Linked DNA regions of Tribolium castaneum. The protein of the gene in region 1 interacts with the protein of each later gene in a pairwise test. Links are inferred from orthologs where the notes say so. Each region holds a gene or a part of one and is shown in the gene's direction. Other genes may lie near its edges.

Evidence for each region.
Region 2: the proteins of Pfdn5 (region 1) and Pfdn2 interact in binary tests that used the Homo sapiens proteins (3 or more experiments, as listed by UniProt). The link is inferred for Tribolium castaneum from reciprocal best matches to the Homo sapiens genes PFDN5 and PFDN2.

The regions. Positions count from the first base shown.
Region 1 is NC_087400.1:9,614,672-9,631,103, forward strand, and holds Pfdn5 (prefoldin subunit 5), read left to right. Parts: upstream 1-8,565; 5' UTR 8,566-8,644; coding exon 8,645-8,746; intron 8,747-8,802; coding exon 8,803-8,937; intron 8,938-8,984; coding exon 8,985-9,059; intron 9,060-9,109; coding exon 9,110-9,262; 3' UTR 9,263-9,338; downstream 9,339-16,432. Other genes in the region: uncharacterized protein LOC103314387, read right to left, coding at 2,936-3,054, 3,109-3,199, 3,253-3,380, 3,431-3,650, 3,699-3,791, 7,762-7,788, 7,839-7,877, 7,929-8,052 and 1 more. UniProt on the Homo sapiens protein: Binds specifically to cytosolic chaperonin (c-CPN) and transfers target proteins to it. Binds to nascent polypeptide chain and promotes folding in an environment in which there are many competing pathways for nonnative proteins.
Region 2 is NC_087397.1:2,594,156-2,610,612, forward strand, and holds Pfdn2 (prefoldin subunit 2), read left to right. Parts: upstream 1-6,398; 5' UTR 6,399-6,475; coding exon 6,476-6,615; intron 6,616-6,772; coding exon 6,773-7,067; 3' UTR 7,068-7,249; downstream 7,250-16,457. Other genes in the region: Vang (van-gogh), read right to left, coding at 3,954-5,496, 5,546-5,649; chondroadherin, read left to right, coding at 7,684-8,816, 8,865-9,126. UniProt on the Homo sapiens protein: Binds specifically to cytosolic chaperonin (c-CPN) and transfers target proteins to it. Binds to nascent polypeptide chain and promotes folding in an environment in which there are many competing pathways for nonnative proteins.

The DNA.
Region 1 (16,432 bases):
GAGGAAAAATGAAGATCCATATCTTGCACTTCTTACCTACCGCAATACACCTACTAAATGTGGATTGTCACCTGCCCAACTGCTCTTTGGCAGAAACCTTCGAGACAGACTGCCAAGGTTACCTTCAGGGTTAAAACCTGCAACTATCGACCATGACACTGTCAGACAAACGTTAATCAACAATCAAGCAGAACAGAAGTCCAACTACGACAAACGACACCGAGTAACAAAAGAAGAGAAAAATCTAAAAGAAGGTGATCGCGTATGGATCATAAATATGCAAAAGGAGGGAGAAGTACAACGCAGATGTGAAGAACCAAGGTCATATTTGATCGAGACTGACGGCGGTTGCGTCAGACGAAATCGAAGACATCTTCAGCCCTTACCAGACAGAAATAATGAACCCGAACATGACCCAGAACAACCAGACGAATCAGAGGAACCAAAGAAAAGACCAATCAGAAGACCCAAAAGATACCAAGATTATTATTGTTATTGAAATATGTATATTTTGATACCTCAGGTAGTTAGTTTCATATTTAGCTTAGTTTTGTATTTAAAAGGGGGGATGTTAGGTTGGCAACTCTCACGTGGGCGACACGGGAGTTGGAGGGGGGTTTTTTGGCAGAGTGAGTTAGTTAGGTTATGTCGCAGAAGGGGCCTGGACGCACCCTCAATGCTCCGGGATATTAGTCAATAAACAGTTATAAGGTTGAATGGTCTATTTACAACTAACCTAACAAATCCCTCAAATAATACAGGGTGTTTCAGTTTGGTATTCGCACACAGGTAACTTTGTTTTGCACAAAAGTTTTAACTTCTAACATAGCTAGAGCTTTAAAATTTTGTTTACATCCAAGACGATTTTTTTGAGCTCAACTAAATTATTTTCAAAATGAATAGAAGAGAATATTCTTTGTGTTAATAAAACTACCAGAGTATTTTACACACGTCACAAAATTAACTTAAATCTGGATAAGAATTACATGTTGATGTATAAGAGAAACAACAAGGGTCCAATTAAAACAACAGTCCCATTATTAATGCATACTTTTTGATACCTATTTTGAAGATAAAAATTGATTAGTGTTAAATTTTGTGAAATTGTAATATCTTAATTTGTTTATTAATATTTTATGTGACTGTGACTGTAGCTGGTCAAATTTTTTTTTTTTATAATACCAACTTATAATTATTATGGTTAATAAGATTTAAAACTGCTTGTGTAGTTGACATATGTTTCCTGAACCACCAGAATTGACTACAGCATTGTCAACTGTCAAATTTCAAGGTTACTATGATTTTTTTAAAAAGATGACTAAAAAATGATTACAAAACAGATTTTTCAATAGAATGACCCTGTTTTTCAATGCCAATCAAAAGAACATCAATTTTTATGCAGACTCTTATGAACATCTTCTATATCTATCTCTTACAGTTTTTGAAATAATTGCAAAAACTGAATTTTAGCTCATTATTTTCATTTTATTCAAGTAAACTATTAAAAAAAGATGGTAAATATGTGCAATTAATTAAAAGAATTGTTCGATTTCTTCACCATTTTCATTAAAGAAGTTCAAAATTCGATGGCAGACTGACTCAGTTACGTTACATAATTCACTAAGTTATAATAAACCATAATTAAATATTATTGTTTTACTGTTTACGATAATCAACGAGCTAAGAACTAAATAAAATATTGAAGTATGACAATTGTTGACCATTTTGCAAGGTCTACTTGATTAACTATATAAATTTCGAAGTAAAATTCGTTTTTTGTGATTTTTTTTAAAAACTATAAGAGAGGTGTAGGACGTGTTGATAAAAATCACCATAAATATTGATGTTCTTTCGACTGCTGTTAAGGAAATAAGGTCGTTCCATTAAAAAAACTGAGTTATGACAATTTTTTAGTAACGATTTTGAAAAAAATCATACTAGCCATGAATTTTGACAGATGACAATTTTAAAAATTCTGGACGACTCTTCAAAACTTCGGTTATCGAATGCAAATAAAATATTCACTTATTGTAAGGGGTTTAAGAGCTGTGATATCTTACAAATGAAAATTTTAATAAAAAAATTGACATGTATCATAAACTATGACAGATAAATACCAACTACTTGAATAAATTTTACTCAGCTTGAGAAGGTTAATTCAAATATGCGATAAAAATGTGTGGTTACTGTTTAAAATTTCAAAGTTGGCGCCAAGTAGTTGTAGTTCCGGAAGCTCTAGTTTTAAAAACAATTTAATTGATTGAACTCAGAATGGTCAATTTGTATCGATACAAAATTTCAAAGCTCTAGCTATTTTAGAAGTTAAAAAGTTTCTAATGCAGACCCTAAAAGATTTTTTTATTGTCATAGAAAAAAAGATCATTCTATTTGAAAAAGCTGGTATTTGATCATGATTTTCAAAAAAATCATAGTAGCCTTGTAATTTGACAGTTGACAAAGCCTGAAAATTTTAGATCGTTCAAACCGTTGGTTATCAAATGCAAAAAAACTATTCACTTTTTTAAAGAGTTCAAGAGCTGTGATATTTTGAATGAACCTCTACAAATGAAAATTTGGTCAAAGTTGGTGCCAATTTTTCATAGTTTTGAAATTTTGTAAATAATTTAGTTGAACTCGATGGTCGATTTAGAATTATATACAAAATTTCAAAGCTCTAGCTGCGTTAGAAGTCAAAAAGTTTCTAATGTAGGCCCTAAAAAATCACCCTGTATATTATGTTTATGTTGTACTTGTTTTAATAAAAAAAAGGTACAAGGGTGCGAATACGAAACTAAAATACCCGGTATGTTGTAATTTGTAAATTTGTTTGAATAAATTTAAAACATTTTGTGTACCCTTTCGGGTAAAGTGCTATTTTATCTACTCAAAAGAGTTGATAAAGAAATAGTTTAACATTTGCTCTAAAAAAACTTACCTCATTTTTGTTTTTTTGTTCATTTATTTGCTCCAAACGTAGCTCTTTCAACTGTTCTAACTTGATTACTTCTTCTTGCTGCCTTTTAGTTTCCGCATCATCAATATCAAGAACTTTTACTACAAAAACAATAAAATAAAAACAAAACTAATCTGTAATAATAATAAACTAACCAAGTTCTTGACTAACTGCTTGATCTGCAATTTCCTGATCGTCATTATTGTTGTACAACTGGTATCGTTCAAGAACATAATTAGTAACACACTAAAATTATTGATAATTATTACAATTTTTTTTTATTATGTTATAAAAACAACCTCAACTTTTTGATATTTGGGATCTTGTTCTAGAGCTGAATTTACATTTGTCTGTGTTATGTAAGTAACAAGATCAACAAGCCACCCAAGAATACCCATCACTTGTGGCCAAGCATGCATTGTATTAACTGAAAAAAATTATTAAAATAGAAATAACTAAGCTTAAATTAACTATTACCAGTTTTTAGCAATGAAAGCGAAATGTTCCCTGGAAATTGATAAATTTTGAGTGTGTTCAAGACAATATCTTTGTAGTTAGTTGTGTTGACTTCAAAGCGCGGATCGATTTCTTTGAATAGGAGGTTGAAAACGGCCACAAATGAATTAATGGTTGGTGGTTTAATGGTGTTGGGAAGGTGTTCAGGGCAATTGGGGTGTTCTCTGAGAAATCGCAAGACCTAAAACATCCAACATTCTCATCCAATCGCCAAATTTGGGCAACTCACTTTGGCATATTGGTCCGAAACCCACTTTTTGTCATTTATTGCTGAACCGATCTTGTAGGGGGATTTGCTGCGCGAGCGAGGTGTTGTGAGGTTCTATCAATAATTTTGTTAAAAAACTTAAAAGTACGGAGTATTACAAGGTATTAGGAGATGAAACGGGTACAAAATCGCCAAATCGTTTTAAATCCAATCAATTTAATAATTACTTGGAAAAAAGGCAGAAATGTTGAGCTTTGCACTTTTTACAGACAGACTGAGAAAAACTAACATTTTCGTAAAAAACATGAGAAAAAAGTTAATTAATAAAATTTGAAATTGCGCTTCGTTCCGTATTTTTCAAGACGCTGCGAATACGGTTAAAGATACAGGGTGACCTAGGGGTGTGTAATCGGTAACTTTTTTGTTATTTAAAATATTGCTATGCCGTTTTTATTATACGATAAATCGACCTAAAGTACACAAACTACAAATATTTTTATTATACCAGGTGGGGCAACTTTATCGCGCATCTAAGAAAATCGCGATTTCTAATTAAATAAAAAAAATTGCATTTTACACGCCTGACTGTACGTTCGAAAGGTATCTCCCCTAATGTTTTGGTAATTTTTCACTTGCAGATAAAAATAATAATTTAAAAAAAGTAATTTTCGACCAAAGAGTCAAATTCTAAATTTTATAGTAAACCACGCGTATTCACTTCAGATAATTGTTTACGAAATTAGCGAAGAAAAACACCAATGAGATTTTGAATTAAACGCACTTTTACATTTTAACTTTAAAAATTATTTTTATTTGAGTGGCTACTTGTGGTGACAATGTGAACTGTAACTGGGGTAAGATTGTAAAAGATTTTGATAGGATATTTGAATGCAGGCATCAGTTTTATTGCAAGACTGTAAATAAGGGGCTTCAAAAAGGTCGGCTACTGGTAACTGATCCCTTTGTTGGCAAATTATATCATCTTCTAATAAATAACGCGTCTAGTTTGCGTCTAAATAAAAAAGACCGATTATTTCACCAACCAAGTAAAAATTTATAATTCTGATACCAGCGTTCGATGGGCTAGCAGGTAAGGATTCATTTGGTCTAAAAACTTTGTAGTCAAATTAACAGTTAATGCCCAAAAACTCACAAAACTGCTACGACTTCATTTATTAACAAAAAAATTTAATAAAAATCGAGAATGGTCCTTATCAATGTACAGGCTGGTGAGTAAAATTTCAGGATTTTTATTTCATCAAAAGTCGCCATTATCTTGGGTGCGCGATAAGGTTGCCACACCCAGTATACAGGGTGTTGTATATAGGCTGGTGTACCAAAGTTATATTTTTTTAAATATAACTTATTTTAAATTATTTTTGCATAGTTGAATTTTACGCAAAAAAATAATATAACTTTATGTGGACTATTTGGATCTATTTCTTTTCGACTCGGAATTATTCAACTTTTCGTTATGAAAAAGATTTTTAAAAAATCACTGTGAAGTGATTATTTATGCATTAGAAAAACTCAGAATATTTTGTAGTTTTAGCAAATAGTCGACTTGTACTTGAAACACGCAGATAATGTACAGGGTGTGCTAAAACGCAAAAAGTTGAATGAGTCAATTTTTTTAAAAAACACCATGTATTTTTTACACGTATCGATAGCATTTTGCATAAGCTTTCTAATGGTATAGGGTTTACATAGCAAATTTAAAACATTTTTCGAGATTAAAAAAAAGTATTTTATTACAAGAAATTTGTTATCCTAGAATCTGATTTGTCAAATGATAATTAATTTTTTGATATGTACTAATGTAATGTGACTAATTACATTAGTAATTTAATTATTACTTGATACATCAATGAATTTTACACATCAAAAATTAATAATAAAATATAAAAGAAAAAAGAAAAAAACACTTTAGGAAATATTTCTAATTTACTATACAAACCGCATATCGTTAGAAAACTTATAAAAATGCTATCGACACGTGTAAAGAAATACATAGTGTTCCATTTGAAAAATATATGAGTTATTCAACTTTTTTACGTTTTGGCACATCTGTACATTATCTGGGTGTTTCAAGTAAAAGTCGACTAATGCTGAAACTACAGAATATTCCAAGTTTTTCTGTTGCAAATTTATCGGAAAATATTCATAGGTGACTTCGCAATGATTTTTCAAAAATTGGTCTTTTTTATAACAAAAACTTAAATAATTCCGAAACGAAAAGAGATAGACCCATAACAGTTTTATTTTTTTTGCGTAGAATCTAATTATGCAAAATATATAAGGGGTTTGATTTAAAAAATATAACTTTGGTTCACGAGCCTGTATACAACACCCTGTGTGCAGTAAAAATATTTTTAGTTTGTGTACTTGTAAGTCGATCTATCGAATAATGAAACATGGCAATATTTCAAGTAACATAAAAGTTATAAACCGAAAACAACAAATATTAACGTGAAACCTATTGCTTTTGAGTTTAGTTATAAGTAACAACGTAAAATAATTTATTAAAATACACACCATCACCTCAGTAAAACTTTTTTTTTTGTTCACAAATTATGGTGGAAAATTTATTATATGTAATGTTTCGCGGAAATGCTAATAAATATGAGGTAAGGGGTGAAGTAAGAAAAAGTGACTATTAAAATATTAAAAAGTCAAGAAGTTGGCCTGATATAAAAAAAACCATTTTTAGCAGCTCCTCCAGGTTGGATATTAGGAATCTGCACTTGTGTAAATCAAATGCCCAGCGACATCAAGAAATAATACCCGAAAAGCCCAATGTTCGAAAAAAATTAAATGAATTCAAAAAACACAAAAATCTAAATTTGGACAAAACATAATCCCAAGTTTTCAACCAAACAAACAAAAGTGGCTGTTTCTTCATCAAAATTCAAAATTTTGACTTAGTGAAGACTGTATATAAAAAAAGAATTTAAAAATTACGCACTACACACTTGTATACCAATTTCAGTGTCAAATATTGATCTCTAATATTACAAAAACTTATTCTGTGATATACTACACTGAAAAAGGCGAACTTAAATAACAAGATAATGGCTTATGTGCAAAAATTATGGATTTAATAATAATAATAATACATTATTTTCTCATTTTGTCATAATGTTCAAAATTGATATGCATAATAAATAAACCTACAAAGCAGTTATTTAAAAAAATAGTTAAGGAAACTTCAAATTCAAAAAATCTCCTATCAGAAAAATAACTTTTGTCCCTCATATGTTTCAGCCACTGGTTCTTTAAAATAACCGAAAAATATTATGGTAATTACACTAATTACACAACACTAAAAATGACCACAATCCGTCCTTTGCTTTAGTTGGGACAAAAACAGGTAGCAACCAAAAGACCATCCACAGAAACGGCACGAGCAACGCCTCTATAGGCAAAAGCAATAAACTATGGGGGATTATATGACAAAATCAGTCTATTCATTGATAATTTAAAAACAACAGTGTTCTACTACATGGCGTTTGTTAAATTAGTTGAAATTTCATATTTTGTAATAAATATCAAAACCCTAAAACAAATTTTGAAGTTTACTGATAAAATAACGCGACTTTTACATCAATCGCAATATCTCAAAAATAAATTAAACCTTTTCTTAAAGGAGTTTACTTTTTCAACGCATTAGCCTGTAGAATTAAAAAACCTTTAATATGATGTACACATAATACAGACTGATCCAGAAATACTGAGTCTGTTGGCAACACTGGACTTAAATTTTTAAGGATACCAATGAAGTACGCTTCAAGTTAACAAGAATTTAACATTCTTGTGGAGTTGGACGTCAAATAATTGTCAAGAAAAATCGAATTCGGTTGCAATGTTACAAATTACGAGCACAAATACTTTCAAATGTGTTGCCAATAGACTCAGTTTTTCTGGATCAGTCTGTATTTGAAATTCTGTTGCGTATTAAGAGAGAAAACTTTTTTAACTGCGCCCTCTGGCGACATTAGCGGAACCATTAAAAACGGGAACGTTTTATTTGTATGTACATCGTTTCGTATCCTAATCTTTAGATATCCGTACTTAAAACACTTACAGAATTTGATCGTTTTAACCCAGAATTCTGAAATAAATAGGTGTTTAACGTTATGTCAATTGTATTTACTGTTTTACCAGAGTCGGAGTAATGACCGTTGATTTTTTATAAGAAACCTACAATCAGCATTAGAGTGATAAAGTTCTCGAAACAAAACAAAACCTAACTGATGGAGTAACCGAAGGTCTTCTCAAATTTGACGAACTTGTTGATCTTTTCAAGGGCGGATTTAAGGTTCGGTCCATGGAATTCGCCCTGAACCTTTTTGCATTGTCATCTTTTGCACTAACTCTTTAAAACAAATTAGAGCCAATAATTTCATTTGAATTTCTTGAAGAAGGAATTTAGGAGAAGGGTACTTTTGGTAATTTTTTACTTTTTTAATAAACCAGGACCTAAATTAGGTACTACAAGTTTACATTATTTTACCTGCTGACAGAAGACTTTGAGCGTGACCTATTGGGGACTGGAAGTTGGGAGCTGCTGTTTGACCGTCGGTACATTGTTCAAAAGACTTCTCAACTTATTAAAAACACAATTAAATCATAAAACTGACTGAAGTGTACAAACATCAAGTTCAAAAAACGTTATTACAAAATCACCAATCAAGAAAGTCCAATAGATGCAATTTATCTACTAAATGTATCTAAATTGGAACTACTTGCTGTTAATTTTTTTAATATGTACCAATAAATACGAAACGTATACAGATTTATTTAACTGGAAACAATTTTAAAAAAATAATGCAAAGCAGTGCTTGTATGAAAGACACAGCATTGTCTTTCGACGAGTAGTTCATTCAAACAGTGCAATTTGTCTCTACTCCATTGCTATTTGACACTACCTTGTTTGTCCATTTATTAGTTATTAATTTATTAGAAAAATGGCTCAAATTTCGTCCACAGAACAGCCTAATATGAAGCAAGTGGATCTGATGACGCTAAATATCCAGCAGTTATCAACGTTAAAGCAACAGTTAGACCAGGTATGTGCCCTAACCTCAAACCTTGCACATGATTCTAAAAACTGCTCTTTTTCCAGGAATTGTCGCTCTTTCAAGAATCTCTTGCGTCCCTCAAAATGGCACAGACGAAATTTCAAAACTCCGGAGAGTCTCTGGAGAAAGTTGGCCCCGATTCGGATGGAAAAGAGATTTTAGTGCCGTTAACAGGATCGGTAATTTGAGTAATATTTACGAACTTTAATGAAAGTTTTTTTTTAAGATGTACGTGCCTGGAAAGTTGCACGAGACCAACAATGTGTTGATCGATATCGGAACCAGATATTATGCAGAAAAGGTGCAGCAATGTTGATGTTGAAATTGTGTGTTAATGATTGAATTTTTTAGGATATTGATGCTGCTAAAGATTACTTTAAGCGGAAAATTCAGTTTGTGACAGAACAGATGGAGAAAATTCAAATTTTGGGGTTGGAAAAAAGCAAAATTAGAGATGCTATTGTGGAAATTGTGGAATTAAAGCTGCAACAGCAACAGAATTGAGTTTAATTTTGTACATGATTTATTTATAACTGTGTTTAAATGTTTACCTAATAATAAAAAGATAAATTAACCTCCACTTTATTTGATTTTATGTTCCTGACTTATTCGGGAATTGTCTACATTTTGTATTAATCAATTTTGGTCAAAATTTGTTGCCGGATAGGCAACCAAATATACAGCTAGTTTTGGACTATCACTGAGAATATTACACACTGATCCACAAAAACTGAGTTTGTTGGCAACAATGGCTCGTAATTTGCAAGACTGCAACCGAATTCGATTACTTTTGACAATTATTTAACATACAATACCACAAGATTGTTGAATTGTTGTTAACTGGAAGCGTACTCCAATGGTATTCTATAAAATTTAAATTCAATGTTGCCAACAGTCTCAGTATTTCTGGATTAGCCTGTATTTATAATAGATGGTTATAGGAAATGCTAATATAGATCGATAAAGAAAAATATTCTCCTCCATCTAGTAAAATAAAAATTAGGATATTAATATAAGTTATGGGTACTTGAAGTTGTACAAACTTAACTTTAAAATTTTGGGTTTTTTACACTTCTTTTCCAATTTTGAACACATTAGAAAACAGATTTTATAGGCTTTCTCTTTTAATTCTTCAAAGATAATTTCGAAATTTCTCAAACTAAAAAAGCTACCGAATTTTTTAAGTGTCAGGTGCAAATCCAATAATTTTCAAAAAAACTTAAATATTTAAGAATATAAGATGCGTTGTCTAATACAATTATTGTCGGATCTTCTAAAGACGGTAAGAGCTTTTCAAGGAGACACGTTGTCGTGGTAATCGTCTGATTTTGTCTTTGAAGAAAATATTAGGGAAGCGTTTTCCAAGTTTTCCAAGTTCCTCCTTTGGCAAAAATCTATGTCTCGTCGAGAAAGTCGTATAAATTCACTGTTTTATACTCCTCGTATTTTCTCAAAAAAATTAATCTTTTTGAAACAATTTGTGGCTTCTGACACAGAGCTCGTCGATTGCAGTCTCTTTTATAATGAAACTCTGTAAAAACAAAAATATGTTATATTATACGTATATGCTTACTCATAAGTCATATTACACCTAGGGGCCGGTTTATATCAGGCGAATTAAAATTTGATTGCAATTAAGTGTTTTGTAAATTGGCCTCACTATATTTAACTAACTACAGTCAAACTTCTTTAAGTCGAACTTCCTTTACTCGAATTTCTCTCTTACTCAAAAATTTTTGTTTCCCCTTGCATTGCCAATCTTATTTACATGTGTTTAGCTTTCTTTAACTCGAACTTCTCTAACTCGAAAATTTCTCTAACTCAAAATTATTTTAATGAACAAAGCATGCGCGAACTTCTTTAACTCGAAATTATTCGTCACAATTCGGCGCAGTGTTATGCAAGTTTTAGTTTCGCAAAAATTGGCACATTTTCTAGAAAAATGGCATCTAACTATTGAAAAAGAAATGGACAGTGGGGTGAAAAAGAAAAAAAAATATGAAATTCCGTCGAGTACATTATCTAAAATTAATGAAAACAGAGCGTCAACGGTACAGTTTGCTCAGGAAATTGGAAATTCTGCCAATATGACAACTGATATTGTTTATAATTCACTAAATAAAATCGAGCGATTTTATGAAACCAATTGTATCAAAAAAACTGTACGTCAAAATCTGATCACAAGTTATATGCATTGAGAAAGAAAATATATATGTATGTTCATACAAATCTGTAATAATGTTCATTTCTAATAAAAAAATATTTTCAGTTTCTATAACTCGAAATTTCTCTAATTCGAACAAATATTCGTTCCCCTTGACGATTCGAGTTAGAGAAGTTCGACTGTAATTAAATTTTATTAAAACAAAAAAATGCATTCGTTGTACTTAACAAGATATTTAACAAAATACATACCAATAGACAGCAAAAGCTTTCTCAAATTCGACCAACTGCCTTGGTAGATGTGTTTTTTCTCCAATACTTCTTTTAATCCCTTAACTGTCACCCAAATTTTCTTTTATAATATTTTTTATAATGTTCTCAGCAATTTTTAATGCTTCTGCAGCACGTCTTATGTAGCACTGAACAGGAATTACTGGCCCCAAGTTTTTTAACAAAAACTTAACAATACTTTTTATTAATTCACCACTATGTTTATCATACATTTTTTCGAAGTAACTGATACCTCCTATCTATTATCAGATGTAGAAACAACTGAATTTGTGAGAGTAGGATAAGGGTAAAGTGACCCTTAAACCCTTAAAACCAACTTTCTAACGTGAAAACCCTTATCTACAACCAATTACTTGTGTCTAAGAAACTAATCCTATTTTTACCTTTAGTGGAATTAATACCATTATAATGTGTTAGAAAGTTGCTGTAGCAGTAAATTAAGTAATTACAAATTAAACATAACATAATCTTTTAAGAGAGTAAGAAACAATGCTGTTTACAAATTGTTCACATTAAAAAGTTTTTAGGATTTAAAAATCACTTTCAAATTGAAATTCATAATTAACATGTATATTTGTTGATAATAGTAAACATTTTGTTTATAGGGTTGACCAGGCAAACAAATAAAAGACATATTAATTTATTTAACAACAATAAACATAACAAATACCAAAGTGGCATCCCATAGTTTGGGGACGATTGGTAGACCCTCCCATTTTTCGCTACGCTTGACGGTTTGTATTTTGTTTCACTCATTCGCATAGTAACAACAAAGACAAAACTAGTAGCAGATGGGAAAGTGTTATTTGATACATTTATACGACATCGGCCAAAATTAAACTACTTTTAGTATATCTCTAAAACGGTTAAACTTAGGTATATAGAAAGTATAGTAATAAGTAATAATATGTAATAACGTAGTGAAAAACTTAACATTCTACTTAAAACAAAAAAGTTGATAGCGACTTCCGGTATAATCGGAAGTGCCGCCATCTTGAAAATATTTTCATTGGGCAGAACTTGACAGATTATGACTGAGAACCAACTTTCAATACTTCTAATGTGGAGTTTATACGGAACAGGTTGTATAATATTGTGCCTGAAATGCCTTGAAATATGAGTTTAATGTTTATAGATAGATGAAACTATTATTTTTCTAGAATTTGTTAGTCTTTGTGTAACAAAGTACTAAAAATAAAATTATGATCCTGTATTAAATAAATCTGATAATCTTATCAATGCTCGCTATAAGTAAATATTTTTAAAAAAACATGCTTTATTTCAGTTTTCCTTATTTATACTGGATGCGGCAACCTTATCGCGCACCCAAGAAAGTCGCGACTTCTAATGAAATAAAAATCCTAAAATTTTACACACCAGCCTGAACGTCCTAAGGTGCGCGATAAGGCTGCCCACCTAGTATATAAACTTGTAATAGATAGATAATAAGATTATTAGATTACAGACAGTAAGTCTATCAGTTCTGTAGATTAGACGTGCAGTTTCTTTGTGTCTATTGTGGTGCCAATAGCATGCTTTTGGCATATGAGTTGTCATTGCATAACAGCTTAGTTATTTGCACCATAATAGTTTTTTAAATAAAAAACAGTTTAATAGTTAGTTATATTTTATCAAAACAATAGAGCAACTATAGTTATTAATTTTAAAATATAAAATTTAGTTACAAAATGTTCTCTTAAAAACGTATAGAAGGGTGCATTTCAAACCTTTTCTCCAATTTTTATTTTTGAAGTCGTTATTGTTATGAGTTAATTTGTATTTATTATACGTAAGTACCTATTTTCGATTTTTGAATCCTCTTAGAAATCTATTTACAAAAATGCTACTTTTTGACTTTATTGCACCAGCAAAATATGACGTCTTTACTGCTTTTTGAGTAATTATTACATTTTTCTTTACTTTTTCAGTGTGACTACATTCCTTTCTGGTGAGTACAAAAAACACAGTACATAAGTTTTCTTTAGAGAAAAATTTACCTATTTACTTCAAAGCATTGATGAGTACTAAATAAACTTATATTTGTTGAATTGTGTATAAATGAAGCACTCCGAACATTTTTTTGAAAAATAAATTACAAAAATATGGGTTATTACTTTAGTTCACACTGTATAATAACAATTTTACAACACATAATATTAAGATAGTAAACATCCCGTATTTTGCATGTTTTTCCTCAGTTCTCACCACAAAATTATTTTTTATCGACACAATAATATAGATAAATAGTTTTAACCATAACCGGTCTTAACATTATAAATATATTTTTTTTTGATCTGGGTGTTTGTAAGTCGTGCTTATGAAACAAAGTTCACAAAATTAAGTGGTATGTTAAAAAATGTTAAAATAACGTACTCTACATCAGATTTAAACTTATAGTTTTTGCTGGCTAATGGGTATACTATAATATAAGTAATAGTCTAAAAAATCTAATTATTAATTAGGGAGAATTTTTTTTGACAAGTTTTAGTAATTAAATTAGCTTACTTCAACACATTTTCGAAAGCCGTCTCAAAAAATTTATTGTAAGCAAATGTTTTGATCAAAAAATAAATAAGTGAATTAAAATTTCATCATTTTTTTAAAAACAATTGTGTCCAGCTATAAAACATTTGTTATTATTTTGTATGAAATTAATACCTACATAATTTAATGGTGTAAAGAAGTCAAATTAAGGTTATTGCTTTGTACCAATATATTAGCTGTTTCAAAACTACAAAAAACGCCAACGTCGCCTTTTACTGAATTATTGTTTTAAATAAGATTAATAAAGTTGTAAATTAGTTACTAGTGATTAGATCTTTTATTGAAAGTAAAAATTACATTAACTAATATTTTTTTGAAGTGCCTGAATATTTTATAACAGCTAATATTGAGAGAGTATATGACGTTGGCGTCTTTATCGTTTTGAAACAGCTAAAAGTTATTAATAATACGAGTGCAAAAACACATACTTAAAGTTCGAGGGTTGTCGTTATGCAACGACCTAGACACTTGTGTTATTCATTTTTTTTTTGTTGGAACATTTTAATTTAAAACACGTTGTTTTGGAAAGCGTGTTGTAAAATAATGAAAACATTAATTTAAAACACGTTTATAATCTAGAATTCAGATATTAAAAAGAAGACAAAATTTTACCTACAAAAAATTAATTAATTAATAATCGAGCGCGATATTATTTTGAGTCATAATGGGATCATCAATCTAGTAGAATGCAAAACTAAAGCCCGCTTTACCCAAATAAAAATAAAACAATTCTTGACAAAAACATTAACAAAAGGCCGTTTTATTATTATAATAAATTATTTGTAGGTTTCTCTACTGACCGAATGCGATGGAATACGTTAATATGATTTTACAAGTTGGACAAAAAGTAGCGTCTGAATGTCAACAACCCACAGTTCTTCAACTTGTCAACAAATCCCGCTGCGATATAATTGACGCTACCATGTCTTCAATGGATAAGTTTGACTGGTTAATGGCTGGTCCCCTTTTCGACAGAGAACATATTTCTTCTAATTCCTCACAAGAAAGAAACGCATCTTTAAATAAAATGGCCACCCATTGCCCTTTTGAAATGACATTAATTTTTAGTGATGGAACTGTGGATAAATTCAGGATGCATCAGAAATTTCCCTTTGATGGGTGTTCGGGTTTTCAACACTTTATCGGCCCACATACTATCACCTTCTCAAGTTCAGAGAATAAAGTGATTATAACAGTTGAGGATAAATAGTGTTTTGTTTATATTTTTAATAAAAAATAAGCGTTTATAACAAATCATATTATTGTGCACTATTTTTATACAGGCTGACCCAGGGGTGCGTGCATACTCCACAACTTTTTTTCTATGTAAGCTATCAATTTGAATTTTTTTAAACGATAGGGCTGACAATAAGGCACATTCTAAAAATGTTTTAGTTTTTACATAGAGTGTTTCAATAGCTATTTACACTCGAATGCGGTAAGTCACATTTTACAGCGCGACAACTTTGTTTGAGGCACGAGCCTTTCAGGCTCGTGCCTTATTAGTTGAAGCGCTGTAAAATGACTTAACGCATGAGATTTGTATAAAACTTTTTGGCCGACAAGCTTTATATTGATATTTATATTGAGGTTAACGTTGACTTACCCACGAACATACGAATTAAATTTCATAAATTTTATGACTGAACGAAGCTTAAATATCCTAGCAAGGCTCACATACCATGTTACAGACATTTTATCCAAATATTTTAATAATACGCCGAATGATAAACTTGTGTAAAATTTCGAATTGGTTTGGTTGAATCAATGACATTTGTGGTTCCCAAACGTATGTATAGGTGGCGCTGTTCCGGGGGGATTTATATTTTCACTAATTAAATATACACCATGGTCGATTGAATTAAATAATTATAGGTAACAAGTATTTCGTTATACGAACTTAATTATGGTAAGCACGGTTTGTATCTTAAACATGTCTAATCGTCCAGTGTTTTGTGGTTACTTTACCTAATTGTTTGCTACCAGTTTACAGCATCGTGTTTAAAGGTCAAGTTACCTTTTATGAATGGGCAACTGTCATTCACGTTTTACAGTACTGGAGGCCAAAAAATAAAATACCTAACTAAGTGTGGTTTTTTTAAATAAAAACTTCAATGTTTTGTTATACTTTTAAAACTTTTGTGTCATAGTCATAGACCTACAAAAAATTCAGAATAATTCAAGATAACTTAACCAACTTTTTTCAATTTGAACTCGGAATCGATATTCCATCGCCTACTACGATTTTCTTAAAATGTCAAATTACAAATGGCTACAACTCTATGCTATTACAATTTACAATTGCTTAAAAGATATTCGTTTCGTAATGATATGAGAATGTTTTATTTTACGACAACGGCCTACTTGATTTTTTTCCGAAAACACCATCAATATTTCTTATTTTGCAGAAATCTTGCAAATTTTACAAATTAGACCCCAAAAACTCTATATCGACAACAAGCCCACAAAGTTTTATTCAATGATGCAACAAAATATATAGGGTGTCTCAGCTAAGTCTTTCGAGCTTAATATCTCCGTTATTTGTCAACGGATTGTTATGACATTTAGAATGCACATATTTTAGGAGGTGGTCTTTCAATTAGAGCAAAAAATGACCCCAAGTTAAAAAATGAATTTTTAAAACACATTTTTTTTATTTAAAATAAAGCCAAATTA
Region 2 (16,457 bases), on another chromosome or scaffold:
TTTATTTCACAAACCAATAATTTCATGAAATTTAATTGCAATTACAATGTTGTGTACACCGGCTCTAAATACGGTGTTGAAAAGTCATAGTTTGAGTGACTCATTTTAAATTCAGTAACTATAAACAAAATCAAACACTCAAACAATATATTGCCACGTAATAATTTTGTCTTTAATTTCAATGAATGAAAGTGGCTTGCTCAAAATTTAAAGCAAATAAACATTTTTTTTTGGGTTTCATTTTTATTATTATTTTTTTTTTAATGCTACAAACGGTAGCCAACGTGGAAGCGATATACAGGTACGTCCATTTTATTATTGTGTCGTATTTATTTATTTCACAAACCAATAATTTCATGAAATTTAATTGCAATTACAATGTTGTGTACACCGGCTCTAAATACGGTGTTGAAAAGTCATAGTTTGAGTGACTCATTTTAAATTCAGTAACTATAAACAAAATCAAACACTCAAACAATATATTGCCACGTAATAATTTTGTCTTTAATTTCAATGAATGAAAGTGGCTTGCTCAAAATTTAAAGCAAATAAACATTTTTTTTGGGTTTCATTTTTATTATTATTATTTTTTTTATGCTACAAACGGTAGCCAACGTGGAAGCGATATACAGGTACGTCCATTTTATTATTGTGTCGTATTTATTTATTTCACAAACCAATAATTTCATGAAATTTAATTGCAATTACAATGTTGTGTACACCGGCTCTAAATACGGTGTTGAAAAGTCATAGTTTGAGTGACTCATTTTAAATTCAGTAACTATAAACAAAATCAAACACTCAAACAATATATTGCCACGTAATAATTTTGTCTTTAATTTCAATGAATGAAAGTGGCTTGCTCAAAATTTAAAGCAAATAAACATTTTTTTTTGGGTTTCATTTTTATTATTATTTTTTTTTTTAATGCTACAAACGGTAGCCAACGTGGAAGCGATATACAGGTACGTCCATTTTATTATTGTGTCGTATTTATTTATTTCACAAACCAATAATTTCATGAAATTTAATTGCAATTACAATGTTGTGTACACCGGCTCTAAATACGGTGTTGAAAAGTCATAGTTTGAGTGACTCATTTTAAATTCAGTAACTATAAACAAAATCAAACACTCAAACAATATATTGCCACGTAATAATTTCGTCTTTAATTTCAATGAATGAAAGTGGCTTGCTCAAAATTTAATGCAAATAAACATTTTTTTTTTGGTTTCATTTTTATTATTATTATTTTTTTTAATGCTACAAACGGTAGCCAACGTGGAAGCGATATGAAGGTAGGTGTATTTATTTACTGAAGTTTTGAATTTGAATTGCCATATATTAAAACGTATTGTGTATTTTTTATTTTGTTTAATATTGACAAACGTTGCTTGTTGTAACTTTCATGCAAATAAAGATTTTTTTATTGGTGTTGTTTTTATTTTTTAATGTCTTGCTACAAACAGTAGCCAACGCAGAAGCCATATGAAGGTAGGTGCATTTTTTTGCGTTTTATCTTGTGATGTGTTGAATTTAATAGCTTGTGTGCCATATATTATACCGTATTGTGTATCCTTTATTCTGTATAATATTTATTAATGTCGCTTGTTGTAACTTTTCTACAAATTATTTTTTTTTGTTGGTTGTGTTTTTAATTTATTTTTTAGGTTTTGCTATAAATGGTAGCAGATGCAGTATAAAGGTAAGTGCATTTATTTAACGCCAAGTGAAAAAACTTTGATTTTTGTGTACTATTTTTTCATTTCACAAACCAATAATTCTTTTATTCCCTTCATTTTCAAATAATCATTGTTTACCTCATCCTTATATCCTTTTTTCCTGGCAAGAATGCTCTAAACCTCCACGTGGTTCTTGCCGGACAAATTAGTTATTGACTAATTTGACCAATTAGAGCAATCCTTAAATATAACATTGTTGATTGTTTTTTTCAGCCGTAAAATTATGTCGCTTGTTGTAATTTTTATGCAAATAAAGATTTTTTTATTGGTGTTGTTTTAATTTTTTTTTAATGCTACAAACGGTAGCCAACGTGGAAGCGATATACAGGTACGTCCATTTTATTATTGTGTCGTATTTATTTATTTCACAAACCAATAATTTCATGAAATTTAATTGCAATTACAATGTTGTGTACACCGGCTCTAAATACGGTGTTGAAAAGTCATAGTTTGAGTGACTCATTTTAAATTCAGTAACTATAAACAAAATCAAACACTCAAACAATATATTGCCACGTAATAATTTTGTCTTTAATTTCAATGAATGAAAGTGGCTTGCTCAAAATTTAAAGCAAATAAACATTTTTTTTTGGGTTTCATTTTTATTATTATTATTTTTTTTAATGCTACAAACGGTAGTCAACGTGGAAGCGATATGAAGGTAGGTGTATTTATTTACTGAAGTTTTGAATTTGAATTGCCACATATTAAAACGTATTGTGTATTTTTTATTTTGTTTAATATTGACAAACGTTGCTTGTTGTAACTTTCATGCAAATAAAGATTTTTTTATTGGTGTTGTTTTTATTTTTTAATGTCTTGCTACAAACAGTAGCCAACGCAGAAGCCATATGAAGGTAGGTGCATTTTTTTGCGTTTTATCTTGTGATGTGTTGATTTAATAGCTTGTGTGCCATATATTATACCGTATTGTGTATCCTTTATTCTGTATAATATTTATTAAAGTCGCTTGTTGTAACTTTCCTACAAATTAATTTTTTTGTTGGTTGTGTTTTTAATTTATTTTTTAGGTTTTGCTACAAATGGTAGCAGATGCAGTTCAAAAGGTAAGAGCATTTATTTAACGCCAAGTGAAAAAGCTTTGATTTTTGTGTACTATTTTTTCATTTCACAAACCAATAATTCCTTTATTCCCTTCATTTTCAAATAATCATTGTTTACCTCATCCTTATATCCTTTTTTCCTGGCAAGAATGCTCTAAACCTCCACGTGGTTCTTGCCGGACAAATTAGTTATTGACTAATTTGACCAATTAGAGCAATCCTTAAATATAACATTGTTGATTGTTTTTTACAGCCGTAAAATTATGTCGCTTGTAATTTTCATGCAAATAAAGATTTTTTATTGGTGTTGTTTTTAATTTTTTTAATGCTACAAACGGTAGCCAACGTGGAAGCGATATGAAGGTAGGTCTATTTTATTGCTGTGTCGTATTTATTTATTTCACAAACCAATAATTTCATAAAACTTAATTGCAGTTAAAATCTTTAAATGCGGTGTTGAAAAGTGAAATTTTGAGTGACACATTTTAAATACAGTAACTATAAATAAAATAATCAAGGAAGCTGTGTCAGTGAGGGCTCTATTTGGCTATATCAGTTCGGGATGCCTGAATATAACCCCAGAAAAATGATAGGTTTAAAAAAAACACTATTACAAATTAGTACATTTATTCAAAACACGGTCACAGATCGGTGTACATACACAAAGAGATATAAAAGGCTACATTTAATGTCATTTTTAGAATACTGATCCTTTGAGATAAGCTAGAGCTACGGAAAAAATTGCACTGACATATCTTACAAATTTTAGGCACAAACAGTCCAAACATGCCGAATCTTTGGACTCAAACCTCTTAAATGTATCTACATCAGTTGACGCTATACTTAAGTACCTGCCTTACAATTACTTGTGCTATAATTTACACTTTGTGCATTCATAAAACGAGTAAAAAATAAATTACGAGTATTTTGAGCTGAAATAAACATTATTGCAAAAAATATCACATAAAACTGATAAAAATTTCGTTTTGGTCTTACACAACCACGGAAATTATTTACACCCTATTAGTTACACGAAGTCTTGTAATAACGTTAATTATTTAAGGAGGAATAGAATAACCGCTTGACCACGAATTATACAATACTACAAACCGATATGTGCTTAAATAAGTCGATCGTAAACTATAGGTCATACCGAGGTCTCCGAATTCAGCCTCAAAACAAACTTATTACTCTTCGGATCAACAACCTCTTCCGTAATATTAAAATGCGGGATCTTTTTAATCGTGCAAAGCAGCGAGACATCGTTTTGCCTCAACTGAAAGCTCGTATTGTCTCCAATCGGGCGCGTTAGCAACTCCTCGCAAATCAGCGCCCACGTCTGCACATCCTTCACTTCCTTATCATTTTGCAAAACGGGCTCGCTCACTAGATACTGCTCGAGGAACGCTTTCGGGGTCAGATCATTACTGAGACAATTGGCTAAATGAGTCAAAATCGACTCGACGGAGTGCCTCGGCTGTTGCCTCGTCACTCTTAAATACTTCTGGAGGGCTCGTGCCATCGACGGGAAAATGGCCTGGGCGGCCTCGTGCGGGTCCATCGGGATGGCAGGCACTTGGTCGTTATGTAAGCGTTTGATATGAGTGAAGGCTTCTTCAGCGGCTGTGATCAGTCGAGCCCTGCGTTTTTTCACACGTCTCTCGTACTCGTGCTCTTCGTAGAAGCGCTCGTTGTGACTCGAGTCACGTCGGCGTGCATGCGCCGCCAACATCGCCCGTGACTGCGACTGTTGCAAGGAGGAATTATTAACACCATCCACTTCGTAAAATTTGAAACTTGAGGAGTTTTTGCGCGATTTTGACACCGGGATGCGCTCCAAGTACGGGTTATAAATGGGGAACTCAGTGTAGTACTTTTCAAGGACCCAAACAGCCGCTCGCTGGATGCTTAACTGGCCTATGGCATAGGCGCGGCTAGCGCCATCGGGGCTCCGCACAACCTTGATGTAATACATCGGTTGTTGGTGCCTGATCTCCATCAAAACTACAGCCAAGTAATGGATAAAAAGTAGCGTATCAGTCAGACTTAAGGCGTAAGCCACCAAGGCCTCATAATCCACCGTTTCCTCCGGTGTGGTGGCGGCACGCGCAGTCTCGGTCACTTGAACTATATAAAACAGCCAATAGGCGAAAATACAGACTAAAACAAAGGCTAGGACAGCCGCCCGAAACAGGAAAAACCTTGGCAAGGTCGCATTCGGCTTGCGCAAGAACACAGCCCAGGCCCCGACCGCCAAAATGGCCATTTTGAACGCCAACGACACCAACTGGCCTTTACATTCGGCCCCGCAAGCTAACAATTTCGCGCTGTCTGCGAGTCCCAGCCGCGAGGACAGCGCAGGGAAGAACCCCAGTTTTGGCAATACGACCATGGCTAAGGGGCTCAAGAAGGCAACTATTGAAAGGATGTACGTTAGCACCGTCCCCATGTATCTTTGGCAGACGAAGGAGAGCCCGGTGTCAGGTTCACCGGGCCAGTTACTGACGTCTTCGGTCGACTGGGACTGCTCGGACGTGTTCCCGGTGATGGCAGTGGTGTTCTCGCCCCAGTTGTCGTCCTGGGGCAGGATTTGCACCTCGATGACCTCCTGGCCGTCGCGGTTGTCGGGGGTGAGGGTCACGGCCGTCTGGAAGGGCGCCATCTCGTCGTTTTTGCGAGACTTGGAGCTTCTGTAAAAAAATTACTTTCAAGATGGTCCAGAATTGTTTGGGCACGAACCTGGTGCTTCTGTGGGAGTGCTGTCGGTAGTTGTTGCGGTCGCGGTGCCCCCGTGAACGTCTCGATCGTGAACTGTTTTCCGATTTTATGGATTCAGTCTCCATATCTCGTCCAGTTTCGTTGCCCATGTATTTTCCCAAAAGCCGGATTTTTTTTGCAAGAAACTGTCATGAGTGGTTCTTTATCAACACTTTTGCGGGAATTCTCGTCAAAAATCCTGATTATTTCACTAATAAGTTCAATGACTCCTCACGTTGATGACATTTCGTAAACATGTATTTGTGCATAAAAAATCCAAACAATTTCCGTTATTTGGAGCCTTAGGCCACTTCCGGGGTTCGTTTCGCTCAGGAGGAATGCATTTTCTTGGGATTTGTTTCGTAAGAGTTGCGTAAATCGTTTACAAATTGCATTTAAATTAGTGCGGCGGCTTGTGTGCGTTTTTCTAATAAAACTGGATCATTTTTCTCAAACGGCACTTGGAACACGCACCGTTTTTTCCCCACACACGTAACCAATTCCCTCCGACACTCCACACATGCTTTTTTATTCAAATTTATTCAAAATTTACTGAAAACTAAATCGGAGTTTATAAAATGTAAACGCCTACGTTTAGGAGCAATTTAATTGCCCCATAAATTATGGCTGCAACATGGCTACCGTGTAAACCAAAAATGACTAAAAACACTAAATAGAGCAATTCCTTCCAATGAATTTCAGTCAAAGAAACCGAGACGAGGAAAAAAATAGACGTAGTCTAGACCCGGGAAGATAAATTTCAATTGAAAAAAAATCCACATTGTCTGGTTATCGCAAAATTGGCAAAAACGCGCTTGGTTTTTTCTTTCCGCCAGGTTTACATCATGTGGCTGCGTCACGTGACCATGACAAAGTGACATTTCTCAAATTCCGGATTTATGTTTACCAAAAATGGCAAGTGATTCGAAAAAGAAATCGTCCAAAGGGCTCACGCCCGAGGAGATCCTGAACGGCTTTCAAGCGCTAAGGGCCGAGCAGCGCACCCTTTCATCAAAACTGACGGAATTCGAAGCCGATTCCAACGAACACAAGTAAGTTTCCGGCCCGGTTGTGGCCCCAAACGTGGGGCTGTGGCGGCGAAACCCACGGCAAATTACTCAAAATTGAGTAAATTTTCATTTTTGAAATGAAATTTTTTTCGTGGTTGCCGGTTTTTTTGTAAAATGTTACATAACCTCGCTTTTACAGAATGGTCATCGCCACTTTACAAAACGTGAACGAAGACCGGCGTTGCTTCCGACTAGTCGGGGGGGTTTTAACTGAGCGAAAAGTGAAGGACGTTCTTCCGGCACTTGTTGCGAATTTGGAGAAACTCAAAGAACTTATTGAAAAGTTGAAAGAACAAATCACGAAGAAAGGTGTGGAGATTAATGAATACAGGGAAAAGTATAACATTAGCTTTAGAGGGTTGGATAATCCGGCCCCGAAACAGGAGGAGCAAGTGGCGGCTTCAGAGAGTAGAGGAAATGTTTTAGTGTCTTAAATATGCATGTGCTTTTTTTATTTACACCTAAGCTAGGATTTTTCTTTTGTAGAATATTTATTTTATGTATTTCATTCGAATTTGGTCGGCATTTAACAAATTCATCTTTTTCTATGAGAGCTGTGCTGGTTTTTTGCAAGGTAATGTAACATATTTCATCCGAATAAAAATTTAATTTGTAAGTGGTTTTTTATTAATTTACCCCCATTACCCAATGACGAATTACGTAAGCACCAATAAATTATAATCTCAATTGCATATTCAACAAAAAAAAACAATTAAATTTCTTTCGTTTTTTGTGGCTGTATTATTGGTTGCCTAACCATGACTTTAAATTATTTCTCTAAAAAATTCAAATGAAAGCCTTAATAAGTTTTAATAAATTAAAGCACTTAATATTCACCACATTAAAAAAAACTGGTTTAATTATATAATTAAATTACAATATAAGTATTATCTAAGATAAAAAAAAGATAGATAGTAAATAATAAACCAATCATTTATTAAATCCTATTTGCTCTAGATATCAGTAGTCAGTATGTGAAGTGACTCAGTTTAGAAAAAACATCATGATAAGTTAACTGATAAAAGATTTTCCTCTTGTTCTAGTGAGACAATGTTTAAGTTTAGTTTCCTTCTTGTTTTTTCTTTATTATTTTACCACAACGAGGCCTTAAACCAGCTATGTTCCGTAAGAAAAGCAGAGAAAAACTGTATCTGTAAACGCATCACCGACAGCGAAGATTTAATTGCCACAGAAGCCGACTGCGTAAGAACAAATTTCGACTATTTCCCGACCTCAGAGCAGCTACCTAAAGACCTCAACCTGCTCGACTTATCACACAACTCACTCACAAAACTGGACGCAACCGAAACGCGATTTTCAAGTGTGACCTTAGAAACGTTGAAATTATCTTACAACGCGATTAGTTTCATCAGTTATGGCTTTTTCGCCGAAATTCCCAACCTGAGAATCCTAGTTTTGAGTCACAACAACATCGAAAGTCTCGACAGTGACGAAATTTTCCAAAAAAACCCAAAAATAACTCATTTGGATTTGAGTTTCAACTTCATCCATGTGATACAAGCCGCGACTTTCTCGCCCCTTGTAGAATTACAAGTTTTGGATTTGAGTTACAATAACCATTCTCTCGGAGAGTCGTTGAGCCAAGTCCGGACTTTAACCGACTCCGGGCTCGGCATAAACCCCAACATTGTGCGTCTTAGTCTCGACAATATTGGGCTTAAGGACGTCCAAAATGGTTTTTTCAGCAACCATACGTATTTAACGCACTTATCTTTGGCCGATAACCGATTTACTCAAGTCCCGCGAGTTCCATACAGTGTGGAGTATTTGGACTTGTCTGGGACGGACATTTCGGTGCTCCAAGCCAAAGAATTGAGTTACCACACGCTCAGAGTTCTAAGACTCGAACGAATGAAGATGCTTGAGACTATCCACCACTATGCCTTCTATAATTTGGAAGCACTGGAGGAGTTATCGGTGAAACATTGTCGCAATTTGCGGGAGTTTAACGAACTGGTCTTTGGCGCTTTGCAAAAAAATGAAGAAACGAATTTGCGGAAATTGTCTTTGGCTGGGAATGGTTTACAAAGTTTGAATTGGACGTATAAGTACCTCTTCCGAAGTTTGGATTTTATTGATTTGACAGACAATCCGTGGAAATGCGACTGTGACATACTGTGGTTGCAAGAATTTGAGAATTTATACAAAAGTGAAAACGTGAAGTGAGTCACTTAAAACTTGTGTTTTTTTTTCGTAAAAATCACTTCCAGGTGTTCCTCCCCTTTATCTCTCCGCTCCAAGCAACTTTTCGACGTGACCGACGAAAACGTCCCAACTTGCTACCCCCAAAAGTACGGCAAAAAGTCGCACCGAGTCCTCATCGCCTTTTTAATACTCCTCGTCTTAATTCTGGCGGCTTTGGTCGGCTATTTGTTTTATTACTCCCCGAGCTGGTGGAGTGGTAACAGGTCGCGGGGAATCGGCCCCCAGTCACCCTACAGTGCGTCCAGAATCGGCGAAGAATTGACTTAACTTTGTTAAAAATAAAATAAAATTATTTCACGTTTTGCTGATATGTAATTCCGGCGGTGTATCAAGTCCCGGTCAATCGTTTTGAATGTAAATGGGACAAAGCGATTACCATCCACCCTTCCCTATTGAGTTTTTCTGCATCACCGACTTCTGTCTATGCACACAAAATCTAACAGAGCGAAAAATAATTGATAACTATTTTATATCGATTCATTATTTTGGATTTATTTCAGGCAGCGGGGCTCTAATGCGCTCCACGAATTCAAATAATTGGTGTTGCGCGAGGGCTGACGTAACAAATCCAAAAAATCAACCCTGTTTTAGGTCAAATATTTTGGAATTAGCATAATATTATTAAAAAAAAAAGGCCAAGAAAGGAAAATTTGGACAAATTATGAGGTAAAAAAAAGATTTTGATTATGATAATTTATGGTTTGTTTTCACATAACTTCATGTTGGTATTAAATTGAGTCATGCATTGTCGAGTTTATTGTTTTTTTTTGTTGGTAACATTTTTTAAGCCTTCTTCTGGAATCTGAATCCTAGATTAGAAACACTATTTTAAATACGTTTCCCATGGCAACGTGTTTTAAATTAATGTTTTCAATATTTTGGAACACGCTTCTCGCATACGCTCGTTGCATAACGACAGTCCTCGCACTTTAAACTTGTGTTTTCACACTCTTATTATTAATTACTATAAAAAGTGAAAATCTCTTAGAGAAATGCATTAGTTTTTTGAATGATATACTCGTAGAGTTTGAGTTTACTTTTATTTATTTTATTATTAATTTTTAAAATTTTTCTGAAGGAATTTTTTTAAGTAAATTGATTTTTTTTAATATCAAGTTTCTCACAATTTTTTAGTTTTTTGAGCATTTTTTTTTCTTTGAGGGTGTGATTTTTCGGTCCATCAAATAAAAAAACTTGGAAAAAAATGACAAAAAAGATATGTAAATAAGGGTTTGAAACGATAAAAATATAGCTATGATGGCACTAGAAAATTGTGTATTCAACTACAAGAAAAGACAAAAATGTGCACTGTATTATGAGCAAAAAATTCAAATTACCTACAATAAGTCCAGAATAAAGACTGTGACAAAATTTATTAAAACTAAATAGTTTGGTATGTTATTGAAATTTAAAGAAAATCTACAGGTTTTATTTTCATAGCCCAAGTAAAGCTTATGTACAAACATTGTTATTCATAAGATTTATTTTTTTAGAAATAATTAGTTTGAAAAAAAAACACAAAGTTTGATCAAATGGGAACGTATTTGGCTTGTTGTGCAATTGAATCGATTTTTACTTAATACATTTTTAAACATGTGCAGTGAGCTTTCCGGCTTAACCGTGGCGTGAATTAAATGCTTTTTAGATCATCCCCCTCCGCATTTAACACATCACTTTAAGCTCATAATACCGTATGCAACTAAACAAGAATCACCCCTGATTTTTTCAGTTTGTATGCAGTAATAGGATTGCACCATGTATGTTTTGTTACAATTACCAATTTACCAGATGTAAATAGGATATATTATGTTTTCGGGGATGACATGATGTAATCCTTGAATGAATCAATAAAACGCAAGCGGAAAATAGAACAAAATCGGGCATTCTTTGACGAAAAAAGCTCCACAAATAGCTCAGACATCTTGTTCATGCTCATCTGAAACCTGAAGAACCCTTTATGTGTCCATATTTGATAAATACGCATTGAAAATCGGGACAAAGCCGTGCGGTTATGAAAACAGATCAGAGATAAACCCGGTGTACAGTTTCCGAAATGTAATATTTTGGCAAATTGTGGTTATTAAAACACGTTCACAGGAGAGAGATAACATCGGACATTATCACCAGGCTTTTGTTTTTTTTTCTTCAACACGGTTCAAATAATAGAGCGAGACCGTAACAATAAATACTTCCTTTGGCAGGAACGAGCTTTCTAATGTCGATTACGCCGATGGACCCAGAGATAGGCAAAAGCGTCGCTCATTTTGTACATCAATTAAAACACACTCGGTGTGACAATAGATGTCGAAACGACGACGTGTGATAATACGCGATAATAAAGACACTTAACAATCGTATCGACCATCTCTATGGTACACGGACTCACTAATGTCATCTGCCAATGGGTTTTGGGTTTCCTACCGGTGCACGAGGGGAGCACCAGAGATAACCCACGTTTCGGTAAATGACGACCGATTACCATCTAGCGTTTTATTGTGCAGAGGTGCGAGGGAAGATCGCCAAGATTAACGAGCAATAAGTTGATCGAAAACACTTTTTTATTAATTTGTCAGTGGCTTACAAAAAAAAAATAATAACTAATACTCGAAAAAGATTTTCTATTACTACTGTATTAGTGAGATAGGTCTCAGAATTAAATTCTCTACGACTTAATAAAAGAAAATCTTTGGCATTTTATTTAAAAAAATTGAGTTTTGGGTGCTTAAAGTTCTGAAAACTTAACTTTAAACATTTGGAGTTAGTTATTTTTTTTTAGCAATTTGAAAACACCAAAGAAAAGATCTAGACTTTCTCTTTGAAATGAGCTAAAGATATTTCCATTTTTTTTTTAAATGGCGAAGTTATCGATTTTTGAACTGGGAGAAGCTAATTCAAAAAAAATTAAAAACTCTAAATATTTGGTAAACGATTAAATTTAGGTATAGGAAAAGCTTATAAAAACTACCTTAGAATAACTCTAGTAATCCAAAAAAGCATTAAAAAATATACCTTTCCATTTAAAATAAGGAAGGTGATAGCGACTTCCGGTATAACCGGAAGTGTCACCATTTTGAAAATATTTTCATTAAGCAGGACCTAAGAGATTATGGTCGTATACAAATTTTCAGATGATTGTCATTATTATTAGAACTACCATTACTTCTAATGGGAGGTTTAGACGGCTTGGTAAAATCTACATAAGAAAATCTAAGAGTTGCATACCACATTTTTTTTACAACTACAAATAGAGTCATAGCAAACAGATCATTTTTCCGAGTGTATTAATTTTGTCAGTGGCTTTTTCCAACTGTTGTGTTATTAAATATATCCATGCCCATGGTGAATGGAGCACATGGAGCCCCGGTGTCAATCATCTCCGTAAATCCGCTTTCTCTATTGTGGTTTGTCGGATTAGTCCGGCACTCCCTCCTCAAATCGAAGCTAAAATATGTAGCGTGTACGGACCTTATGCACCGTTGTTTGCATGTTTGTGTTGCAAAGCTCCTTAGTGATGCGATTAAAAAGGTACAGAACGGAAACACGTCCCTAATCCTCTTGGATTTCCCCCCGATTTTGGAAAAAATCACTCTTGGTCGATTTTGAAGACGAGTAGCGTGTTGTAACCGAATTCGCCAACCCTATACCGAATAAAAGCCGAACGAGCGAGCAACAGGGTATAAAATCGATATTATTCGCATCAAAGATCAAATTTAGCCTGTAATCGGCCACCTTATTAGCAGGCGGCTCATTTTCCATGGCTTTCTCTAATTTCAAGCGCGCCTGTCTGAGCGCATCGGCCCCCGCGTACGATACTCCTTTGTTACCGAATTATCGCAGGTAACTTGATAGCCAGATTGCAACATTTGGGTTACAAACAAAGTGCAGTCAGAGATGCGTTCGTAATTTTTCTGGCAATTTTGTTTACTGTTTTATTAATATCCAAATCGGGGGATCCGATTTCCAAACCAGAAAAAAGGGACCGCACGGATCGCGGATGCCACGGAACCACCGGACGAGATATAGACACTTACGTAACAAAAAAAATACGCGAAACAGGTGGGCAGTCTGCCAGGTACACCGATTTTTGAAAACAGAAACCAGAGCAAAAAGTGCCCAGGACGGGCTAAGCGGTGGCTGCTCCAAAAATGTTAAATAAGCTAAATTGAACAAATATTAAAAAACCACATTTGTAGCAACTTTCGTTAATTGCATGATTTTAATATTTTTTGTCTTAAAAAATAACTAGTTTTCTTTCTTTTTAACCATTTGGGGACAATTTTTTTGTTTTTCTGGACGTTATAATTTGATTTTAATTTTTAATTTTAATTTTTTTTGGTCTATTTTTAATTTTAACTGATGAGCATTCATTTTTGAACACATTGTGTTTATTCTTTGCTATCGTTCGGACGTGGTGTTGTCATCTCTGGATAAGTGTGAACCGTGATGTGGCTTTAATTTCTTACCAGTGCCCATTTTTACGTAAGTTGTAGGATGTCTCATAGTTGAAGATCTTGTGGCTTCCATATTTGAAATCATAGCAGAGTGTGAATAGAATTGACAATTAAACTCTTGGCCGCAATCACATAAATAGAGGAAACCGTTGACAGTAGTGGTAACACCAATAAGCCATTTAAGTGTCTTGGGTGTCAAGGGTCGTCCGTTTGTGTTTTAAATCAGTCACAAATAATGGGGTGCCGAGGTCATGTGTGGTTTCAGAATCAGTGAATGTAATACCGCAAACATTTAATTTTACTGCGTCGTGTTACTTCTCGGTGTATAGTTATCGGTTATCACTTGAAACCGCGTAATTATCCCGATTTTTGCAAAAAAGTTCCGCTTTACGAGACCCAGATATTCCCCAGTCTCATTTATCGAAACAATGAAAACGTAAATAACGAGCCAACAAAAGCTCGTCGGGGATTCAAAATGAAATCAAATCTGTGCCGAGGAAAATAAGTGTAAGAGATTGACGTCGGATGAAAATTGAAAAAGGAAATTTCTTTTTAGACTCAATTGTTTCGCTCGGCTGGGCCGTACGGTCACCGGACAGTGTATAGCCAGACTTGATTAGTAAGAATGCTTTTTGTCTCCTGTTCGCCTCGTTTGAATGTTGACGCTGGAACGAAGAGGGAATGCAGGGATGATGTAGGGGAAGTCGACCCGTGATGGAGTGCATACAACGAGATTATGGCACAAACCCTTGTATCTCCACGACTGCGATGCAAACTAAACTCCAGGGACTTGTGTTATTCGATAACCTGGATGGGAACCCAGTGGGAATCGCCCGCTTCTTGCTACTTTCCACAACTGCACAAACACAACGCAAAAATAACGTAGAAAAAAAAAACGTTAAAAAAATCACAGAAATAACGTTATTTGTAACGAAAACATTACCGTTGCTTTTTAGTAACTATTTAAACGATTTTGTAACGCAAGAATATAACGTATTATAGAAAATATAAAACCAGTAGTTAAAATCAACAAGCAACGATTTAAAAAGGCTGTAATTCAGTTATTTGCAACATTAATTATACGTTTAAAATAAACGTAAGTAAATACGTTTTCTAAAAACGTTAAAATTTTATAAATTAAAAATTGGTGAAAAAAATAAAGATGGTTTTTAAAATACGTAACATAAACGTTAAAATATAACGTAATCATACAACCAAATAACAACGTTGTAAAAACGCGTACTGGAATTTTGCTTTCGTGGAAAATTCAGTAGTCAAAAAATTGGTGGTTGATTGAAAATGATGGCAATAAGGAGGCTCCGGGTCCGTTTGCTCGTCGGCAATCCAAACCTAATATCCCGCAAAGAGGAACAAACAGCACAATAGGTCATAAATGAAGCGTAGGAGGCTATCGTTGTGCCTTGGGCGATTATATCGACTGTCAAGTGTTGACAGTTGAAGCACGGCGGGAGTCGGATTAGACCGGTCGTAGAGGGCTTGAGTTTCACGCACGGCCGTCTAGTATCAACATATGTGCCCAAACCTAGTCTTTTATGTGAATTATTAACGTTCCGATTCGTTTCAAAAGCAACAACACTCGAATGTTGCTCCTCGCTAGTGAGATACAGAGAGCAGCTTTTTCATTTATTATTGAGCGGAGATTTTGCTGCAGGATCCTGTGGGAGTCGGGTTGGGGGATGTAATTCGCCACCGACGACCACCATTAGGAACATCAAGTATGCAGGCGCGGTAAGACGGCTTATAAGCACCTGTGCGCAGGATTAGAAGTAATAAGGGCTAATGACCAAATGTACGTGACGGGGAGCTGGCCGCGGGGATCTATTCACAAAGTCGGGAAGAAAATCTCACTTTCTTAACTCTTTTTTCAAATAAGATGACAACCCTTCCGTTGAAACTTAATTGGGGTGAATGTTGTATTTTTAAAAATTTATTTAGAAAAAATTCTACTAAATCGTGTGCAACATTTTTTTGCATTTTCTTCAGAAACTTTAAGACTTAGAGCAAAAACATCAGATTGCGCTTAAAAATATCTATATTCTTGTCAAAACCCAGAGCCGCTCCGAGCCATGGTTCCGTCTACTGAGGCATTTTAATGTTTTTTTACTAAAAAAATTATATTTGAAAAACTAAAAAACTAAACTGAAAAAAATTCTAGCAAACTTTTATAGACTTTTCTATGCTTTTACAACCATCTCGAGTTGTTAAAAGTACAATACAAGTCATAAGGTTTATTTTTTCAATGTTTAATTTTTCCAATTTCTGCGAAATTTTTTTCGATTTTTGGTACCAGGAAAATTTATCGAGCAATAACTCCGAAAGTTTTAAAGATAACGCTTATCTTCAAAAAAGATCATTATTCTCCGACTAATAGTTTTCAAGAAAATTGCAGATGAATGCAAAAATTTGTAAAATTTTAAAAAATTCATAACTGAAGAAATTATTAAGAATTTGGCGATTTTCTCAACGCTAATCCATTCCCCAGATTATTTTACATAAGTAAGAGTCAAAAAAAGTTTACTTTTTTGAATAGTATTGCCATAATTTATTTTACTTTTAATTTGAAAAATGGTGGATGCGCCGAGTTATTTTTCAAAAATTCATAACTCAGAAACTAAAAGTCGTAGAGCAATGCAGTTTGTTTCATTAAATTCAGGGGCTCATTTTCTGTATTATACCAACTTTTAACAAAATCTAACATTTTAAACTTTATTGCAAAAAACTGAGATATGCATTTCCGATAGTGGAAAATTTTATTCAACAAAAAAAATTCATAACTCAAAAACTAAAAGTCGTGGAGCAATGCGGTTTGTTCCATTGAATTCAGCGGCTCATTTTCTGTATTATCCTAATTTTTCACGAGATTTAAAATTTTCAATTTTTTTGCTCAAATTTCCTGAGTAAAACAATTTACCCTTCAAAGAGGTGAAAAAAAATATTTTTTTTAAACTAACTTCTGCAAATTTTTATGGACTTCTACATGTCTTAACAACCCACTAAAGTTGTTAAAAGTCCACAAAAAGTCCAAATGTTCGATTTTTTGATGTTTGATTTTTTCAATTTTCGTCGCAGTTTTTGTCGGTTTTGGGTACCCGGAACATTTCTCGAGCAATAGCTCCGGAACTATTA